Caenorhabditis elegans: one gene and its partners. The protein of the gene in region 1 interacts with the protein of each later gene in a pairwise test. Each region holds a gene or a part of one and is shown in the gene's direction. Other genes may lie near its edges.

Region 1 (8,196 bases):
CGCACACTTATTTCGCAAGCCTCGCACGCTTTTTCTCTTGAAAAGAAAACGCGCGAGGCTTGCGAAGTAAGCGTGCGGCGGTTGCGAATTCCTCCAAATTTCCGGCAAAAGTCCTGAAAAATGTAGATTAAATTCAATAATTTTTTTCAGAACAGTACGGAATTTCAGGCCTTACTTTCGGGCCTTCCGGCTTCTTCTCCTTCTTCTTCGGAGCCAAATCCTCCGCAGTCTTCGGTCCGAGCAGCTCCAAGAATCTCAAATCCACCTCCTTCTTCGTAATCGCACCATCAGCCCATGGAAGCAGAGCTCGTAGCTCGCCGAGCAACTTTCCGGCCGGGAACGAGTACCGCTCGGCGACGATTTTCTCGCGGTGTTGGCCAATCACCTTGGTAACGGCCGCTTCGATGTCGTCGATTGTGACAACAACGCCGACTCCGCATGATTTCTCGAAATCAGGCACTTGGATACCTTTAACGGTGTGCGAGAGAAGATACTCGATCGCTGCGGAGAGCTGAAATTTTTTTGAAATTTGGAAATTTAGCTGTTTTTTTTTTAATTTGAAATTTAATTTTAATTACAAACCTGTGGCTCTGTCTTAATCCCGTCATTCATAATATACTTGACAACTAGTGGAGTGTGAGCAGCGACTTGTGGCTTCAACTTTGTCGCCAACTGGTACAAAAGTGTTCCTTTTTGCTTGGAAATCTCGCCAGACTCGCTCGCAAGCTTCACAATTGAACCGATCGTTTCGGTGAGCTTCACATTTTTCAGCGTTTCAGCTACTTTTGAATCAGAGAGGCCCAAAGAGAGAAGCTCCTCCTTTGTTGCCATTTTTACCCTGGAAAATTTGTGAATTTTTTTGAATAATTTGAAGTTAGAAAGTGGAGAAGCGGAAGAAAATTCTAGAAAATAAATGTTTTTAAAGAAAGTCCAGTTTTCCGTTTTCTGAGTTTCGCGGAAAGTTGCAATCTATAGAAAAACTGAAAAAAAAGCAAATCGCTTCCTGAAACAGCCTAAAAAACCTTGAAAATACAAAATTTAGGGAGAATTTAGAAGATTTTTCGTCGAATCTCGGGAAAATCTTGAATAATTGAGTGAGAAAACAGTTTTTACAATAAGGAATTATGATAAAGTTGCAAACATCTGGAGAAATTCCAAATTTCTTGATTTTAGCCGAATAACCCTAAATTTTTCAGTTTTTTCCGAGTTTTTCGCGGGATTTGAGTTTAAATACAATATTTCTATATTTTTAATCAAATTTTTAGCCTCAAATCTGGAAAAAATAATTTTAAAAAAGCCAAAAAACCACTGGAAAACTTTTAAAATAGGCTTTTCCTTGCTAATTGCAGCTGAAAACTGCAAAAGTGTGCATTTTCGCGTGCCGGTGTTTACACACAAAACATCACAAAATGGTGTGCCACATCGGATCCACGTTCATTTTTTTCAGCGTTGTTCTTCGTGTTTTTGCATTAAAAAGTTCTGAAAATCTGGATTTTTTATTGATTTTTACTTCGAATTGTGATCTTTAATCTAATTTCTATGGATTTTATACCGAAAATGTCGAAATTACATATGAAAATTGCTAGAAACCGGCTGCAATTCTCATTTTCTGATTTTTATCTGATTTTCTTTCCAGTTTCCCCTTGATTTTTATTGCGCTCTGGCATTTTAAAAATCAATTTTCGCACATTTTCAGAGATGGCCGACGAGAACCACGTCCGTCTAAGCGAGGTTCAACTGATTCAGTCGGAATTCGGACATTCTCTCGAGGAATGCTACAAGCTTGCCGTTCAATATTATAAAAAAGGTATTTTTTGATTTAAAAATTCTTTTTAAAAAATGAGTTTTTTTCCAGAACACGTCGGGAAACAGGAGCCTGTTGGATATGAAGATCGCATTAAATTGCTCTCGTTGAGCAAACAAGTGAAAATTCCAGTTTTAAAATCAAAAATTAAATAAAAATTAAATTCCAGGTCCAACATGGAGAGATTTCCGATGAATTTGACAACGCTGGATGGCTAGATATCACTGGAAACGATGTGAAGTGGGTGATTTTCAATCAAAATTCTAACAAAAAAAAAGAAAACACTCTATTCCTTTTCCAATTTCCCCCCACACCCTCATTTCTCGAAAATGATGAACAAAATTGGAGAAAAAAAAGAAGAAGGACACACGAAGACGCAATCTCCAAAAAATTTCATTTTGTTTTTCATTTCCTATTCTATTCCAGGATAGAAATCTCGGAGAATTGGCAACTTTTCTTCTGATTTAATTAATTTTTAGCGGTTTTTCTTCAGAAATTTGATCAAAAATTGAATCGATCCGTGAATTTTGCACAGAAAAAGAGGCGGGGCGTAATTTTGCAACCCTGTGGCACCGTTTTTTAATGTCGATTTTACTAGTTTTATTCTTTTTTTATCGAATTAAAAGGTTATCCAATTAAATTCTAGTAATTAATTTAATCTGAATATCCTTATAATCTTATGAGAATTAAATTTTATAACATTTTAATTCGAAAAAAAGATAATATGACAAGTAAAATCGGCATTTTATTGAAAAAAATCAACAAAAAGTGGAAAACGAGCTCCAAAAAAGAGAGAAAACGCTGGTTTTCTGGCGAAATTCACAATTCTTCCACGCAAAACTATGTAGCTGAAAATTTCAGAAAGTTGGAAAAAAAATCCAATTTTATAATTTTTTTACAGTTTTTTTTTACAAATTCAGTTTTCTAGGCTTCTCTTCTGGCGCCCTCAAGCCATTCTCAAACTTTAAATGAATTTTCCAAAATTTTAGGCTAAAATCCTCCAATTTTAGTGCCTTCTCCTCTGAAATTAAGCAGCAAATCTGAAAAAGCTGTCAAAATAACCTATTTTATGGCAATTTTGCACCTCAAATAGAGCCGTTTTCAGCGATTTTTCGAACTTTGTTGCTCGTCAGTACAAATTCGTGTTCCTCCTCCTGCTCCACCACTCGCCGTCTTGTTTCGTCTAATCCATTTGGGACGTTTATACGTGTTTTGTGTGTCCCGGCGGCTTCTTCCTTCACTTTTGCTACTAGAAATTATTTCTCTTTGAAACCTCTGTCCGAAATATATTTTTTTTTGCTGGACGCCTTCTTTAGAACCTTTTCAAGTGTGGCCAATTATCGTAAAAGCAGGCGGTGTGCAAATTTGATTTTCGAGAGAGAAGGAATGTTCAATGTCTACCAGTTATTTTGGCTTTTTCCAAGGATTCGTTCAGTTCTTTGACGAATAACAGCCCCACGGGGTTCTGGCCTTCCTCATTGAATTTTTCGCGCTCCATTGACAATCGCTCGCCGGACTCCACACGGACAAATACATTTACATAGTTTTTCAACTAAAATCGAGCCGCGACGCGACACGCAACGCGCCGTAAATCTACCCCCGAGCCAAAATGACCTAGTTCGGCAAACTCTTCCATTTCAAGTTATGAGGGAAGCCAGAAAACCGTGGCAGCCCGAAAGGTCTTCTACTTTTGATGCTCTCGGAGCTCTGAGCCAAAAAGCCCCAAATATGGATACAAATCCATCATGAGCTCACCTCATAAGAGCCGGCTCTCCTAATACTCATCAGTCATTTTGTATTCTTTCCTAAAGAGATAGACATACATGTTTTCAAAAAAGAAAAGAAGTTTTTGTCGAGAATTCGTCACAAATTGATTTTCAGCCTCTTTTGTCGACGAAAATTTCAGCTACACCCACCAATTTGGCTCTCCTCCTCCTCCTGCTCAAGAGGAGCAACACTGAAATCTCTGGAGAATTGGGTGGCTTCTTCCTCTCCTTTCATTCCTTTTTGCCCTATTTCTCTCGTTTTTCCGTCTGTTAAAAAGTTGACGGCACATCCTTCTGTTTTGTTACTTTGTTGTTTTCGAGGCGGTTTCACAATTGTCTACGGTATTTCCTGATTACGGAACTTTTTTCTGCGTGCGGATTCTGAGTTTTTCACGGGGTTCTGGCCCAGATATGGCAGAGCCAAAATGGCCTAGCTCGGCAAACTCTTTCATTTAAATTTATGAGAGGAAGCCAGAAACCACGCGACGCCAGACTGTCCCATCACGATTTGATCTACAAAAAATGCGGAAAATTTTTTCCTCTAAAAATTGTGACGTCAGAACGATCTCAACCATGTGAAATCAGAAGAGATGTCTGCGTCTCAACTCCCGCATTTTTTGAAGATCAAATCGGAATAAGACTTTTCGGACTCCATGCGGTGCACCCGTAACGTGACTGAGATCGTGGCAAGACCCACTTATCATGTCAAATTTTCGGGAAAATGTCCTACCGTACTTACTTGAAGGAAGAACCTCTCATCAACATTCTACAACCAAAATGTAGTCCTCATTGCAAGAAGAAATACGTCATATTTCTCTGTCTATCTACATTCCAGTACTTGTGTCTGATAATCAGGAAGTGCTGATATCCATTCCGTGTTTTTCTCATGACACTTGCTTTTTTTTGAAGAGAAGTCACCTTCGCCCTCCAGCAAAATTTAAGGTTTTCCCACGAGGATATCCAGCGTTTCCTCGTGTTTCTTTAGTAGTAGTTCACTTTTTTTCTGGTTTTGTTTTCGTTGGATTGCTTTCCTTTGTGGAAAATCAAATTTTCTACCGAAATTTGTGTGGGGATTCTCTCGCTACTCTGGTCTGTTCTTCTGACTCACGTTTTCCGTTTCTTTCCATCCAAGAGACGTACAAAAGTAGTAAGAGTAAACACACAGACGAGGGGAAGAAGCTTCTTCCTCCCTTTTTTTCTATTCGCCAAAATTGAATTTGTGTGTAGCTCCGCCGTCCCGGGCGGACTTCGCCTTCTTCCTCAACCCAAAAATCTAACTTAACAAGAAGGGAAAAAGAAGTGACAAGGACGCGAGGAATGCTAATAAGATGATGGTGTTGGAAGGGATGTGGGGACGACGACTAGTTGGACAGACGACATCGGCTTCTTCTTCTTCTTCCGTTTTTTTTTGTCAGAAGATAACGTCTTCTTTGACAAGACGGCAGGGATGACAAGTTTTCAACCTTTTGTTCTTGTGCTGTTTGGAATCGCAACTAGGGCTGTGCGGCTGATGACTCGGCTGATGGAGCAAATCAACGTTTTTCAACGTAATAGCAATGATCAATTAGGGAATACTTGTATTTGCCATATCGGCTGAGTCTTGAGCTTCTAATTCTAGAAAAAAGTTTTTAAAAAAGTGCACACCCCTTCCAGAAAAACTCGTTTTTCCAATCAGCCGACAGCCGACAGCCGAGTTACTCGGCTGATTCAAAAAGCCGACTGTTTTGTCAAGGTGTGTGCACTTTTAAAAAAAACTTTTTTCTAGAATAAGAAGCTCATGACTCAGCCAATACTGCAAATACAAATATTCTTTAATTGATCAGTGCTAACACGTTGAAAAACTTGATTGTCTCCATCAGCCGAGTCATCAGCCGCACAGCTCTAATCGGAACCTACCTGACAACGGTAGAAGGTTTTGGCCACTGTCTCCTTCTTACCAGGTTCTCTGAGCCCGAGGTTAGATCTACGTAGACACGTGGTGTGAGCCTGTCTCATTGCGGTTTGATCTACAAAAAATGCGGGAATGTTTCCTCCAGGAAAGTGTGACGTCAGCACACTCTTAACCATGCGAAATCAGTTGAAAAGCCTGCGTCGAATTTTTCGAAGATTAAACCAAAATGGGACACTTTAACACCACGTGCGTAGATCTACGAAAATGGCGGGTATTTAGACGCAGACTTCTCAGCTGATTTTGCACGACTAAGAGCTTTCTGACGGCACATTTTTCTTGGCGAAAAATTCCCGCATTTTTTGTAGATCAAACCGTGATGGGACAGGCTGACACCACTTAGCTATTATGTTGCCGGGTTACTGTAGTTGACGAGAAAATGATCTACTCAACATCTTCAACTCTTCCGATATAATTGCAAGTCTATAAAAAAAAATAGATGACTATAAAAAGCGGCTATTTGTCCGAGATTTATGACTATATGTCTATCTACTCAACTGAAAGCCTTTTCTGAGTGGTCATAGATCAAAATTTGGACGAGTTGGTAATCAAATTGTGTGGTAAAACCCAACTACCCAAATGAACTTTCGGAATTCTTGTCTTTTTTTCAATTTTACAAATTAAGGGTCTCCTCCTCTTCCACCCAATTTTCAAGTGTTTTTGTAGCTTTTGAGCACTTCACTTGGCTTCTTCCTCCTCCTCAAATCCTGAAATCCTCTCTCTCTTTCTCGGCTAATCCTTTCTCTTTTTGAGCTGACTGAGAGGAAAATGAGTGAAAAATTTGCTGCTTTTCCTACCTTGAATAACACAAGAGTGTTCCTTTTCTTCCCCTTTTTTCTTCGATATCACCTATTGGCGGGGGTGTCTGATGTGCTCTTTTCTCCGGCTCTTTCCCTGTGTGCATGCACTTTTTTTTTGCGGAATAGAAGATGTAATTGATAGATTTGAGAAGGTGTTTGGTGTGTCACATGCCCCATGAGAGAGAGAGAGATGGAGTTTTCAGCACTTTTTGGTGATCTACTCCCTGCTTGGGCGCTTTTTGATTGGCTCCAATTGTTGGGCTCGGGGCGGTCTTGAAATTCTGCCCCAAAAAAGATTTCCAAAAAAACTGGAAATTCTTGCATTGGATTCGCTATTTTTCCGTTGAGAAATCTCATTTTTTGATTTGAAATCATCAGAAAGTACTGTAGGATTACTGTAGTTTTCTTGTTCACTCGCTTTCAATGCAGTGCACAGAGCAGTTTTACTACGTGGCCGTGCGAAATAGAAAAACTCGGCCACCCAAAAATCGCCAAGCTTCTTACAGTGAAAAATCAACGATTGGGCGAATTTTTGATTTTTCTAGGCCATGTTCCAAAAACCGCTCTTATGGAATTCAAGTAATATTGCAAAATGTAATTAAACACATTTATGACGTCACAACTGTACACGGTGGTGTCAGAGTGTCTCATTTCGGTTTGATCTACGTAGATCTACAAAAAATGCGGGAGAAGAGAGACGCAGAGTTCTCAACTGATTTAGCATAGTTAAGAGCGTGCTGACGTGAGTTTTTTGGGCAAAAATGTCCCGCACTTTTTGTAGATCAAACTGTAATGGGACAGCTTGGCATCACGTGCCGTGTGAAATCAATGATTGGCCGGCCGAGTTTTATGATTTTTCTAGGCCACGTACCAAAAACCGCTTTCTTAGATCTGTTGATCTAGTTTTTCCGCGATGTTTGCTCGAAATTTTCCTGCTAAAAGAGCCAAATTGCGAATCTGAGTGACCTGGCCGAGTTTTCTCTCTCCCCAACGGCCACGTATTACATACTTGGGCTCTTTCATGACGTCATTATCTCCAGTCCCGCATGATGATAAATTGAATGTTGTTCTGTGTTACATCTCGAGATTATATGACGAATGCTTGCTCTTTTTCTATCCCAATCGAAAAACAACTGAAACCTAATAGCCAAGCTTGAAGTAAAGAAGCTCAAGCGGTTATTTCTTCGTTTTTTTTCCATTCCGTTACGTATTTAATCTTAATTTTTTTTTTCTTATTTTCAGCAAAGCTTGGCGTGAGCTGGGCTCGTTGTCCCGCGACGAAGCGATGGCCTCGTTCGTCTTCCTCGTCGATCGTGTGTGTCCGCCGTTCAAGGGATTCATTGCCGATAAGAAGGCTATGTGAGTTTTGATTTTTTTTTCAGTTTTAATTTTGAATTTTTTGACCCTAAAAACGTATACTTTGATCACTTATAAAGTATATAGTCGCATTGAATAAAAAGAAAATTGTTGGCAATAAACATTTGAGTAAAAGTGAATAACAAGTAGAATTAGAACTAGGAAAACAGAAGGGATATGATGTAAAATCATTCATTTTTTTATTTTCTGATGGCATTTTTCCGACAGCATATATAATTATTACTAGAATATGGTGAGCTACGGTGTAGATGTTACTGAAAATAACTGAAATAGTTTCGTAACTCTGAAATTCCTGACTTATTCTGTACCAAAAGTAACGTATTGATATACGAAAATATTCCCCGAAGAGCCTATTTGAAGCCTGAGAGGCATTTTTATTTTTTATTGTGAACGATAAAAGAAGCGCCTTTTCTGGTACTTTTTGAAATTTAAAACAAAAAACATTTTAAAATTGAATACCATTATAACTTTTAAAAACATTAAAAATAAATTGTTAGACCT
Region 2 (6,343 bases), on another chromosome or scaffold:
ATCAATAGTTAATCGGGTTTCCTTGTGTGCGGATGATCTCAAACAGTCTGTCCTCCATTGATCTGACCAAACTTTTCAGCTGGTTGTCCGGAATAGACTTCCAAGCGTCGAGAATTCCTTGCTTCAACGATGCAACTGTTGGGTAAGTCTTGTTCTGAGCATACACGATACGGACAAGAATCCCCCACAAATTTTCGATTGGATTGAGATCAGGACTTCGAGCTGGCCAATCAAGAAGGTTGATCTTCTTGAGCTTGAAATAGTCGCGGGTTGAGTTGCTCACATGGATTGTCGCATTATCCTACTGAAATCTAAAGTCTTTTCTGGAGTAGTGACGAAGATATTTGGAGAGCTCCAGTTCCAAGACGTTCTGATAGTCAGTGCTGTTCATCTTGCTACTGACGAACTGTATCTCAAGCTTCTTCTTCTCCGTGAACGCTCCCCAAACCATCACCGTTCCTCCTCCAAAATTACGTCTCGAAAAAACCATTGGTTCCTTGCGCAAATCGCGCCAATAGTAGCGGCAACCGTCAGGCCCATCGAGATTGAATTTCTTTTCATCGGAGAAGACAACCTAAAACAATGATCCTAATTATTCACTCTTGCTTTTTTAAATTCTCACTTTACTCCAATTCGTTCCCATATTGTTCTTAGCAAATTCCAATCGCTTGAGTTTATGGTCTGCAGAGAGTAACGGAGCAGGGCGAAGTTTCTGACGAACGATTACACCAGATCGTTTGATGACATTGAGGATGGTCCTTTTTGAAGCAGACAATTGAAGCTCATTGCGAATATCTCTTGCCGTCTTACAGGAGTTGGAGGCAGCACGAATCACATTTCGTTCGTCACGCACGGAGAGAGCTTTGCGACGAGGAGCTCTTTTAGATGTACCGTAGCTCACCGGATCCTTCAGATACTCGCGAATACAGTGTCGAGAACGGGAAATTTTCCTACTCATTTCATGCAGGGACACATTGAGCAATTTCATAACATCCAGCTGAGCGCGTTCAGTGTCCGAAAGGGCAGATCCTCGAGGCATTGCAAGTTAGACTGCTTTCGAAGTAAGCTTTCCAGCCTCTATATGTGTGCCACAACACATGCCACAATTCCACATTTAATAATTCACGCAAAAAATAGTAAATAACATCTGTGAGGGACAATTTAACTTGAAATATTGGTCCCATGGAACCTTGTAATCAAAGAAAAACGATTTGATTCCTGATAAGCCTTCCATTGTTTCCTGCTGCATATTTTGCCAAATCAGCTTGACTACACAGTCGAAACATCTAAAGTGCGTGCTAGGAATTTTAGTAGGAACTTGTTAAAGAGAGTTTATCAAGTTTTGGCATTACCGAGAGCACCAGGAAGCTTGAAACAGACTTGAACATCAAAGATCGGAAGAATCAGAACCAGTCTGGAGATCCCACGAGAACATTTCGTATTAATTTTTTAAAGTCAAAACTGCTTATATGAACTCATTTCTAACTCAAACTTGATTTGAGCTTTGTCAAAAATTCCAAAATCTGTTGATTTTAGTAAAAATCGTGAAAAAAAACGGGGGGTCCTATAGAAGTTTCACACTGGATTTTGACGTTTTTTCCAGCGCGACCTCAGTTTTTGAGATAAACTTCTGGAAAAAAATTTATATAGGTTTTTTTCAATTTAAAAACGAACGGCATTAGCAGTTTTTCGAAAAAATTTTCGGAAGTTCCTCAAACCTTCAAATTAGGGGGGGTCCTATAGAACTTTCCCACACTGTATGATTATAAAAACAAAAAAAAATGAAGTTATAACCCCAATTTTAAACTGTAGTGTTTTGAAAATTTTTGGCAATTGGAATCTTCGGAAACTGCTGGTTTCAAAAAATATGGGAAATTTTTCAATTTTTTGTGAAGCTGCCAAAAACTTCAATTGCCGAAAAATTTCGACTGAGGTATTGCATTTTTTATTGGAAATTTTGAAATTTCAGTTGTAACTGCAAAATTACACGTATCTTACATGAAAAATGAGAAAAAATATATTAGAATTCTTGCTGAAAACGAGAAAAAATGTCAAAAATATGTGTCATCCGTTTTTTCTTATAAAAATTCCTTCAGAAATTTTGCACAATTTGCAAAAGCGGAAATCGGAAAGTTTTCTATACATGTCTTGAAAAAAACTCCACCGCCACTATTTCCTAAAATTTGTTAAAAATATAAAAATGGCTGTTAATTGCAAATCGATAGACTTACTGATAACAAAACTTCATCTCACTTTCTTCATTTCTCTTCCCCACAATTTTTTTAAAAACTCTCCAAAAAATGTGCGAAATTATTAAACTAGACGTTGGTGGAACTATATTCAAAACTTCAAAAGATACATTAACGAAACTCGATAGCTTTTTTAAAACTATGTTTGAAAGTGATATTGCGGTATAATGTTGCTGACTATATTTCTCCAAAAACCTGAACATTTTCAGCCGAAACTCGAAAAATCCGGATGCATTTTTATTGATCGTTCCCCGAAACACTTCGAGTTAATTCTGAACTTAATGAGAGATGGGAATCTGTGGTTGCCCGAAACTGAGAAGGAATTGAGAGAGTTGTGTGCGGAAGCAAATTACTATCAGATGTTTGGACTGTACAATAAGTGCGGTGTGAAACTTAGCACTATAATAAACTTCCGAATGATTCAAAATCAAAAACCAATAACTAAAAATAATAGTTATACTCGTTTTTTTGTTTTTTCATTAATTTTTTTGGTATTTGTGTATTACATCCCTGCACTAAAAAGCTATTTTATTGTTGAAAAATCTAGTAAATGCTACCTATTTTAGTGGCTATTAAACGCAATTTTCATTGTATTATGCTATCATAGAAATGTGAACAGACCCGAACGTAAACCTATTATAGTATGGAAAAAAATCAATTGAAAACACTGATAACTTCAAATCGATCGACTCACTGATAACAAACCTTCATTTCACTTTCCTCTTTTTCTCCTCTACAATTTTTTTCAAAAACTCTCCAAAAATGAGTGAAATTATTAAACTAGACGTTGGCGGAACTATATTCAAAACTTCAAAAGATACATTAACAAAGTTCCATAGCTTTTTCAAAACTATGTTGGAATGCAAAACTGGGGTATGAAAATCGTTGTTTTTTTCCAAAAAAAAACGTGAAAATTTCCAGCCGAAAATTGAAAAAACCGGATGCATTTTCATAGATCGGTCCCCGAAACACTTTGAATTGATTCTGAATTTAATGAGAGATGGTGATCTGCCACTGCCAGAAGATGAAAGAGAGCTGAGAGAATTGATGGCAGAAGCTCAATTCTACTGGTTGGATGGTCTAGTCTTAATGTGCTGTGATAAACTTAATTCTACAAAAAAGGTCCAAATTGATCAAAGAGCAAACACTAAAAAATATGATTTATCATGGTTTTTTGTTTTTTCAATAATTTTTTTGGTTTTAGTGTTTGTGTATTACATGCCTGCACTAAAAGGCTATTTTATTGTTGAAAAAAGAAATAAATGTTATCTTTTTTAGTTGTTGGAAATTTTAATTTTTGTTAAAAAAAATCATTTTGAAATATGTACTGATCGATAATCTTATAACTGATAACAAAATTTTACTCCATCTTTCTCTTTTTCTCCCCTAGAAAACTCTTCGAAAATGAGTGAAACTGTGAAATTGGACGTTGGTGGAACTATATTCAAAACTTCAAGATCTACATTAACAAAGTTCAATGGATTTTTCAAAACTATGTTGGAGAGTGACATTGGGGTCCGATTTTTCCAAAAATTTCCCGATAAATTTTCAAATTTTCAGCTAAAAATTGACGAATCTGGGAGTATTTTTATTGATCGGTCTCCGAAAAATTTCGACTTGATACTGAACTTTATGCGAGACGGCGACGTGGTTCTACCCAATTGTGAATTGAAACTGAAGGAGCTGCTAGTAGAAGCTCAATTCTATTTGCTCGACGGACTCATTGAGTTGTGCAATTCAAAGATTGAGCTTGTTGAAGCTCCAAAGATAAAACTTCGATTTATTGAAAGCGATGAACAATTTCTTCAAATTCTTGCTGTTCAACAGAAGGTGAGTTTCGATAAAATAATGTAGTTTTTCAAATTCATAGGAATATCTCAGTCGGTAGTGGTAGCTGCTAGAAAGCTAGAGGTTGCGGTTTCAAGTTTAGACTCATCCCCTAGGTTCACCCAGTCTGTATTGGAGAGTGGAGCAATCCATGACTGTATTATCGGCCACAGTCCCTGGCTAGGACGTGGCTTAAACTATAGGCCAGTGCAAGCTGTAGTCCTAATAGTAAGGCCACACTGTATGGCGTTTGTCAATCATAAAATAATTAACCAGTTTCTTCAAAAAATTTCAGCTCTACATATAATTTTTACAGCCAATGCTCATAATTGAATTTTGCATGGTTGGGAATGATATGTCGATTCCCTATAACTTTAATCTTTACGAGTTCATGGAAAAGTATTCACATCAGTTCGATATTTATTTTCGTAAGTTTTTTGTACATTATCCTCATAAAATAGTCAATTCAGAGCGATTGAGTGAAGACGAACCTTCTCGCAAATGGAAAGCAAGGATAAAATGGAAACCTACTGAGAATGGATATTACAGTCAATTTCCACACAATCTTCGAATTAATCGAGGTGGACGGATAATACGGGATGCAACATTTTTGGAACGATTGGAAAAAATGATCGGGGAGTTTGATGAGTATTTGAAGAAGCAGAGGAATAGATAATTAACTTATTTTATGGATTTTTCGACAATATTTCTAATTTAGAAGCTTAAAAAATTATAATTTAGTAAGCTTGTTTTTTTATCTTTAAACACAAAACACATGGATAAGTTCAAAGTCTGATTGATAACAAACATTCTTATTTTTATTTTTTGAGTTTGGTTGCATCTGTGCCTCAAACCGTAACTATTTTAAAATATGAACAAGGTTGTTAAACTAGACATCGGCGGAACTATTTTTAAAACTTCAAGACCGACATTAATAAAATGTGATGGATTATTCAAAACTATGTTTGAATGTGAAAGGGTCTGATTACCGTAATCGATTAAGAGCGATTGAGTGAAGACGAACCTTCTCGAAAATGGAAAGCTAGGATAAAGTGGAAATCTACCGAGAATGGATATTATAGTCAATTTCCGCACAATCTTCGAATTAATCGAGGCGGACGGATAATTCGGGATGCAACTTTTTTGGAAAAATTAGAAAAAATGATTGGGGAGTTTGGTCAATATTTGTATTTGGAGAAGCAGAGAAAGAGATAATTAACTCATTTTGTGGATTTTTTGACAATATTTTCAATTCAGAAGTTTTTTTTTATTTCTTAACATTTTTGATTTTTTTGTAAAAAAAAAAACAAAATTTCGCAACACTGATAATTCAAAATCGATCGGCTCACTGATAACACAATTTCACTCCGTTTTTCTCTCTTTTTCCTCTCAAAAACTTTTCAAAAATGAGTGAAACTGTTAAACTAGACGTTGGCGGAACTATTTTCAAAACTTCAAAAGATACATTAATGAAACTCGATAGCATTTTTAAAACTATGCTGGAATCTGGAACAGGGGTTTCATGATATTGATTTCTTACCTGATTTGAAAACTTGAAAATTTTCAGCTGGAACTTGACGAATCCGGATGCATTTTTATCGATCGCTCCCCGAAACATTTTAACAGGATTTTAAATTTCATGAGAGATGGTGACCTGTCACTTCCCGAAAATTGGAAGAATTGCTGGCAGAGGCTCAATATTATTTGCTGAATGGACTCATTGAATTGGGTAATATTAAAAAGCTACCAATTATTGAAAGCGCACGAACTTGTTCTGTATCTTCTCCCCCACCTCCATGGATATCCAAACCTTCTTGGATTTCACGGAAGTGATTGTTTAACTGAAATAAATTGAGTTTTCATTTTATTGGGAGTATTGTAACTGGAAGTGAGTTTATAGAGAGTTTTAAAAATAATACAGTACAAACAAACTTAAACTTCCAATTTTGCAATTCTGAGGAAAAAAACAACAATTTGGTAAGGCTGAACAATTAAATCGACTCACTGATAGCAGAATTTCACTCTGTTTTCTTTTTAAGTGTTTGTTTGTTTCTTTAATTTTCATCACATTAATGGAAAAGTAAACAGAACATTTTTTGAAAATTTTTTCTTTTCTGAGGAAAACAAAATTTCGAAATACTGCTCGATAAACCTGATAACTAAATTTCACTCTACTTCTTCTCTTTTCTCCACTCAAAAACTTTTCAAAAATGAGTGAAATTGTGAAACTAGACGTTGGCGGAACTATATTCAAAACTTCGAAATCT
Region 3 (7,429 bases), on another chromosome or scaffold:
TGAACAGTTAGGCGGTACCTTTCGAATCCAAATCGGGTCCCAGTCTCTGTACTTCTCCTCCTCTTGCAGAACAACCATCTCGACGATGACCTGCGAATTTTCACCTCGGTTCTCCGCTCGCAGCATCTCATTGAGCGCACTGCCTCTGAAAAATGTGTGTGTGCTGTTGATCAAGACTCTAGGCAAACTTTGGAACACCTACGCCAGACAATTATCTCTCCGTGTGGAGTACACGATTTTCCCACGCGTTGTCCGGCAGGCGATTGTCAATGGAGCGCGGAAAATTCAGTGAGGAAGGCTAGAAACCCGTGACTTGAAATAAAAAATTTTCCTTGGGACAATCTCACTTTTAGGGTTATGTTCTAGAGGTAATGCCAAAATAAGAACCCCAAATGATTTGATGGCCCGACATCTACCGGGTTCTGCTCCGCACTAAGATTACCTCGTAGTGAGCTGGGAACCCGTCAGATGTCAGCCCATGATATTAATTGGAGTCCTAATTTTGAAATTACCCCAGGAAATGACCTATAAGTTGGTAAACCTTTTTAGACCTTTAGCCAAGAAGGTCTACTGAAACCTGACCTAGTCAAAATTTTGAAAAATTCAATTTTGAATGTAATTTTCTAGAGGTAATGTCAAAATAAGGACCTCAAATAATATGGTAGCCTGACGATCATGGATTAATTCAAAACCCAACTCACTGTTCAAAAAGAGCCTGTCGAACTGGACCAAGAAGCTCGCCTGCTTCCTCGGCCTTTTTCTTTGTTCGGCACCAGAAGAACTCAGCGATGTGACCGTACACATGATCCGAATGCCAGAATGTTGGTTTCGCCTCCTGTTGAGTAACCTTCGAAGTAGCGATGGGGAGCAGGAACAGACTGAGCCACACGAGCCAGCGCATCTAAAAATTGATATGAAAACAATAAGAAAATTGGTCATAGATCATAGGTATGTTCCAGATCAAACTGTCGTTGGTTAAAATTAATGAAAAATGGAATCGCAAATTTCAAAAATCAATCAAATTTACATCATACACAACTTAAGAAGTATTTGTGAACAAAGAATTTTGAGATCAAGATTATATTTCAAGATTAGAATTCAAAAAAAGTGACAATTAGAAATTTTGCATCTCAATAGGCATGTCCTGTGGCGACATGCTGGCTTCTCGCTCTCTTCGCATGTTCTCGTGAATCTGTCGGTTTTCAGCTCCCTGACGTTTGGACTCCTCGATGGCGGCTTGGCGTTTTCGGTAGAAATGACTGAAAATTAATTTTACATTACATGCTTTCAATGGGATTTCTAGAATAAATAGAAACCTCTTTTTACGGTAGTGTGACGTCATGGAAGAACTTTCCAGTGTGACGTCACACTTATGAGAAAAAATATTTCACGTGTTTCGGGGGTTTAAGATTTTTAGATTTTTTCAGTGCCCGTGAAGTCAAAATTTGATTTATGCACCACTGCGCTATTTTTTAGTAATCTCTCTATTACGAAACCACGAGATCATGAGAATGCCTACTTTTCTGACGGCAAATATCTCGTAGCGAAGGGACCTGCGTCTCTCTTTGCCACACGCTCTCTCGCTGCTGCGGCCTGCCAATATTTTCGGGCCAGTCAATAGGCATTCTCATGATCTCATAGTTTCGTAATATGTTGCCACCACGTGGTGTCAGAGTGTCCCATCTCGGTTTGATCTACGTTGATCTACAAAAAATGCGGGAGAAGAGACGCAGACTTCTCAACTGATTTCGTATGGTTAAGATCAGGCTGACGTCACATTTTTTTGGCCGGAAACTTCCCGCATTTTTTGTTGATCAAACCGTGATTGGGCAACCTGGCACCACGTGCTGCACCCTTCCATGTCCCCTTGTCGTTCAACTTTCTCATTAGCGCGCGATTACACCGGTAGGAAAACAAAGAAACTTACTATCCCAGACAGGAGAAGGAGACGGCAGCAACGAGAAGTGTGATTCCGGCAGCTGGTCCAAACGTGGGGAGCACAAATTTCCAGTCCTCCTCGTTTTTGATGTTTAGAACATTATCCATTTTTGCTGCAAAAAAAATTTGTTTGAATGAAATGAGGGGTAGAAAACAAACAAAATACGGAGAAAAATTGACACCACTTTTTGGTCACATTGTTTGAAATTTCAAATATACGTATTATAAAAATTATAGGATTTAACACAAGAGGAGTACTTCTCAAGTTTAGGTACTTATCCTTAGATTCTCAGAATCATGTATTTCGGCTCAAGTTTGTTTTTTTACTCCTAATGATTTTAATGAGTTGAGAAACTATTTTGCAAATCTAGAAAGTCTCTAACTCAAAAAAAAGTTGAAGAGTGGCACCAGACGCAAGCTAAAATTGAGAAAATCGAGATAATTTTTCAAACTTTCAAAAAAAGATTTCAAGATTTCAAGATTTCAAAAAAAAAAACTGAGCAAAAAGTGTTGTCTATTCACGTGGCAATAAAAAACCGCAACAGAGGAGTACAACAGAAAAGAAACAAAGAAAATGATTACAAAACCTGAGCGCCCGCGTTGTGGGTCAAATAGTCCCTCCTTCGCGCGCGCAAAAACACAAACATGGGACCTCCCTCCTCCTCCTCCTCCGCGCGACTGCGGTTCTGTTCATGTGCGCGTCACGGTGTATGCAGAATTCTGACCTTTTCAGTGGTAGGCGGGAAATGAGAAGATGAGGGAAGAGGAGAGCCCAGTTGTTTTCGTCTTTCTCCCGCAAAGGATGACCTAGTTTTGGACGGATCGATTTTTTTTTTGAAACAGTTTTTCTTTTTGAATTTTAAACTCTCACAGCTACTCTTCTTCCCGTTTAAAAAATAAGAATGTATTTTAATTTCCTAAGCTTATCTCCACAAAAAGCAATGAAAAGATTTTTAGAAAATGGCTGGACTATTTCGAACAATTTTCAAGGGCAAAAAGTCCCGAAAGGAAAACGAAAACGACGACGATTACACAGTGGTTTGTACCTTTTATCGAATATTATTTCAATCGATTCCCCCCGGTTTCAGTTCAATCCGTGCGTACGCTCAATGTCGCTGAAACGTCAGCCAACCGCCCGTTTTGCCGATGATTGTATGCTCCCACCGACTGCCGCCTATCACACGACAAGTGCACCGAAACTTCGCAAAGGGCCTCAAAGCTGTCCGGGCGGCCGTGATGACTTCAATGCTGCTGCCTACAGTAGATCCAACAAGTTGCCCAGGACCTTCCCACTTGGAGCTTCAAGCTCGAGCCGGCAAGATTTCCAAATTGATGACTTTGAGCGAGGATCTAGAAATCATAAAATTCGGGAATCCTCATCAATGGAGTTTGCAAAAAGAGATCAAAAAGAAGGTGATGATGAGGATAATGAAGCGATGCTCGAACGAAAAAGCCGGTACTACATGCAAAAATGGGAGAATTCGGAAAAACAACGGCGTGAGGAGAGGCGAAAGCAGGAACGGTATGAACAGGAGAGAGAAAGCATTCAAAGCGTGATGTCCAATATGGCCTATTGTATGGCGTCGGCTCAACAACTGGAGCAGTTGAAAAAGGAACGAGACCAGTACAAGAAGGAGATGAGACGGTATAAGGCAAAATGTGAGCAATTGGAGAGCAAGTGCGAGCAACTACAGACCATGTCTCCGAGCTATGGCGCATTTCAGGTAGAGTTTCGGGGCCTTCATTTTTTCGCCTACCATATATGCTCCAAGTTCTTTGCAAAATTTTAAGTTGTAATTCTTCTCGGGTAAAGGTAATTCAACGATTTATTTCCCTGCACCCTGCTCCATCACGTTAATTTCAAATATCCTTCTAGGCCTGCACCATCCATCTCTAAAGGTCCTCGCCACTCCCAATTTTCCCATTAGGGCACGATTGCATTTTCAGAAAATACGGTGTCCTAGACACTAGAGATCGGAACCTTTTCTGGGTGGTGGTTCCCCTGGTATTTAGCTTTAGCTGAGTTTAAGCCGAAGACTGTAGAAACCAACAATGAATTGTTCTACTTCTCAATCTGGGTGAGCCTATTGGGAGGAAGGGCTTGAACTCGTGACCTCTAGATTGCTAGCGGCCACCAATATTATTAAATTATCAAAAAACATATTTTCAGTCTATGCAAAATCTCCAAAATCCAATGCTGCCATCTCCATTCCAAACTCCACAATTTCCTGCTCCACGAAGCTTCGCCTATCCCAACCCGCCACTTCCATTTCATCGTTCCATGGATTTTCTCAATAGTGGACCGCCAAGCTACCTGTACAATGAGAACCTATCTTCGCTGTGCAGCAGCTCGATGAGCCACACGCCGACGACAAACGGGAGCGATGGCGCCGGCGAATCACTTGTTAATCCGTCGGACGTCAGTTTTCTCAAGAACTTTTCTAATGGTAGGTTCTGATAAATTGTTTCTAAACATTCTATCATTTTTTCAGGTCCCACAAATTCCTACGACAATGATGACGAGGACGAGGTCAAAAACTATCGTCAAGAGCAGGACTATTTTGTTTCAAGCCCACAGGCTTCCAATACTAACTAACTATTTATTAATTAATGTATATCTTTGTATTTTGTCAATTCTATTTTTTTCAATTTTAATAAACCGCTAGTAAGTCCTGAAAGAACGATGAATCAAAAAATCGAACAACTCTCAATTTATAGGGATTAGATTTTTTTTTCTCGTCCTATTCTTCACGCTCCCTCCTCATTTCGTTCTGTCCTCAATGGATAACAAGTCCATTAGAATACAATTCATGTTATATTCGATTTTATGCTTTTCGCGCCGATTTCACAGAAAGCGAATATATTGAGAGATATTGTTTTTGCCGCCGGGCACCGTCACTAGGGACACAATTCGTGTGGGTCGTCTTCGATAATTTCCGCTTTTCGTATTTATGTATATCGGCCAAACATTGCCTAACTCGCCTAACTACATTTACTTTTACTATATTTTTTATTCAGTTTTACCTCGCTTTTGTTAGAAATTGCTCATAAAAATTCCAGAGATGCTCGGATACTTTAACAGAACCCATGCTGCTCAGGTCGGAAGCTGGGATACTTTCCAGGGGTTTTTGATATTTGAAGTTTTGCTTATTATTGTTAGGTATGAGTTTCCGCGTTATACTGTCGCGACAGAACGATCGCTCCGCCAATTTTGCATGCGGCAAAGGGGCGTGGTTTATTGGGGGCGGGATTCCGGCGCAACCCTGCGGCACGTTTTTTTCGTGCGGTAATTTTCAGTTATTTTTATTCGTTTTCTGTTCGAAATTTCACGATTTCGCTCGATTTTGTTCGTTTTTTCGGATAAAAAAGTGTTCAACTATTTTTTAAATGAAAAATAACCAAGTTTTATCAGTTTTTACTTGAAAAAATGCTTCGTTTGTCTCTTTTTCTGTAATATACGATGCAAAACGTTAAAAAAAAACGTTTTCTCTTCACATTTTCCTTTTTTTCCCCCCATTTTCTCTCTTAACAATCGTAATTTACAAAAAAAGAGACAAACAAAGCATTTTTCGGGTAAAATCTGTGAAAACTTGGTTATTTTTCATTTAAAAAATAGTTGAACACTTTTTTATGCGAAAAAACGAACAAAATCGAGCGAAATCGTGAAATTTCGAACAGAAAACGAAAAAAAATAGCTGAAAATTACCGCACGAAAAAAGCGAGAAAAAAGCGTGCCGCAGGGTTGCGCCGGAATCCCGTCCCCAATAAACCACGCCCCTTTGCCGCATGCAAAATTGGCGGAGCGATCGTTCTGTCGCGACTGTATTTTCTTTTGTTCAATTACAAATTTTCAGTTTTCTTTCCATAAGCTTCTGGTTCTTAGTGATACTCACCGCAAAAAACATGCATCCAAATTTTCGAATTATCAACGCTTTCTATTACGGACAATACTTGATTCAACTAAGCTTTTGGGTAATTCAGCCATTCATCATTTTGAGGGAAGGTTTGGACGGTGAGTCACATTGCATGAACATCATTTGCTTTGATCTAGGTAGGAGTAGTAGACAAGTTTAAGGGCTTGACGCCTGCCTAAAACCTGTCGCCTGCCTAAAAACTTAAGGTTAAGCAGAAAGGCGTTTTGGTGCCTATATATAAAAGCACGACCTAAATCTAAATGCTTCTTATACTATTTTCTATAAACATTCTGTTTTTTTTCTTGGTTTATGTTTACAAGAATTATATTATTATTTGAACATTACAAACAAAAACATTTATTTTTCGGTAACCTTGGTCGATATTTTACAATAATTTAAATTTAATGACGTCACACAAGTTTACTCTACGATACGTGTGACGTCATGCAATTCAATTCCTGTTGATCAAACGATGATTCTACCTTTTTGAGACAAATATGACTCAATCTAACTCGTAAAATACAAAATACATTGAAATTTTTGAGTTCAATTTTTACAATTTTTGAATGATTTCAGATTCTGACAAATTTGGCAATAGCCTCTTCACACTTTGTAGTTATGTCAGAATTGTTGGGATTTTTTATGGTGAGTTTTCAGATCAAAACTGTTAAAGCTAACGGTGTTATATATAATCTACATATAACATTTTTTTCTAAAACTTTAATCTCTGAAAAAACTAGAATGTGTTAAAACTATACACAATACCCCACTAATTCAAATTCCAGCGTTCTGCGCTTTGCCAGCTTTGGTCATCGAGAGAAGCTTTGCAACGTATTTGCTGGAGAGTTACGAGAAAAAACCAAATTTGTGCATTGGAACATTTATTGTCATGTTTCAATGGGCAACAGCAGCATCTGTGGGAATACACTTTAATCGTGGTGAGAACGGGGCTTCCATATAGGCACAGAGACGTCTGCCGCGCCTTCTGTATAGTGCGGCGCAGAACCCAAAAAAATGTCGGGCGCTAATCATCAATCTTTGAACTCACGCCAGTATTCAGAAAGGCCGGAAAGTTTCGGGCAGGCACCGTTCCTTTGTAGGCCTATGGTCTATATCAAGCAAGAAGGCTTTTCGTTGCGAGACCCACTTTTCCCGGAGTTGACTAATTACCCTAATTCCAGCATCTAACACCGTCGAGCACACTGCCGGTGCAATAATCGCAAATTCGTTGGCAGTAATTCTGAACAAATTCAACGAAAAATTGAACTCAAAGTACTATTATGCAATGGATCGAGCGTCGTATTCATTGTCGGAACGATTTCAAATAACCGAGAATATCAAGACTGCAAAGGTTAGTGCATCCCGAGAACCAATTTTTTTTGCGCTTGCAGTATCAAATTTGTACTTTTACTGGATTAGAGAAAAAAATTTACGAGAATTTATGATTCTTTTTGAATTTTTTGGTATTTTTGTGTTAATTTATTTGGAACAAAAACTGTATTTGAAATATGCAAAATTGATACAAGTAGCAAAATTAATTAGATCGAGTTTGATGGCATCTGAAATTTATTTGAATT

What was found. Proteins that work in one complex are often made in the same cells at the same time.
Region 2: the proteins of Y41E3.7 (region 1) and ZC239.16 interact in a two-hybrid assay, tested with the Caenorhabditis elegans proteins (one large-scale study listed by BioGRID).
Region 3: the proteins of Y41E3.7 (region 1) and C17E7.4 interact in a two-hybrid assay, tested with the Caenorhabditis elegans proteins (one large-scale study listed by BioGRID).

Annotation. Positions count from the first base shown.
Region 1 is NC_003282.8:15,012,346-15,020,541, forward strand, and holds the start of Y41E3.7 (Golgi resident protein GCP60), read left to right. Parts: upstream 1-1,689; 5' UTR 1,690-1,698; coding exon 1,699-1,807; intron 1,808-1,855; coding exon 1,856-1,923; intron 1,924-1,973; coding exon 1,974-2,044; intron 2,045-2,909; coding exon of another isoform or gene 2,910-2,991; exon of another isoform or gene 2,992-3,151; intron 3,152-7,560; coding exon 7,561-7,677; intron 7,678-8,196. Other genes in the region: qars-1 (putative glutamine--tRNA ligase), read right to left, coding at 176-511, 583-831.
Region 2 is NC_003280.10:3,221,954-3,228,296, reverse strand, and holds ZC239.16 (BTB domain-containing protein), read left to right. Parts: upstream 1-2,977; 5' UTR 2,978-3,011; coding exon 3,012-3,122; intron 3,123-3,170; coding exon 3,171-3,527; downstream 3,528-6,343. Other genes in the region: ZC239.17 (Potassium channel tetramerization-type BTB domain-containing protein), read left to right, coding at 2,417-2,815; ZC239.15 (BTB domain-containing protein), read left to right, coding at 3,654-3,764, 3,810-4,079, 4,393-4,504, 4,547-4,752; ZC239.13 (BTB domain-containing protein), read left to right, coding at 5,483-5,593, 5,644-5,787; ZC239.14 (BTB domain-containing protein), read left to right, coding at 6,287-6,343.
Region 3 is NC_003283.11:3,889,961-3,897,389, forward strand, and holds C17E7.4 (BZIP domain-containing protein), read left to right. Parts: upstream 1-2,893; 5' UTR 2,894-2,898; coding exon 2,899-2,976; intron 2,977-3,026; coding exon 3,027-3,662; intron 3,663-4,108; coding exon 4,109-4,385; intron 4,386-4,430; coding exon 4,431-4,534; 3' UTR 4,535-4,613; downstream 4,614-7,429. Other genes in the region: C17E7.9 (uncharacterized protein), read right to left, coding at 19-145, 203-286, 702-901; C17E7.12 (uncharacterized protein), read right to left, coding at 1,115-1,259, 1,928-2,046; sre-9 (Serpentine Receptor, class E (Epsilon)), read left to right, coding at 5,001-5,098, 5,793-5,950, 6,429-6,497, 6,638-6,790, 7,034-7,203.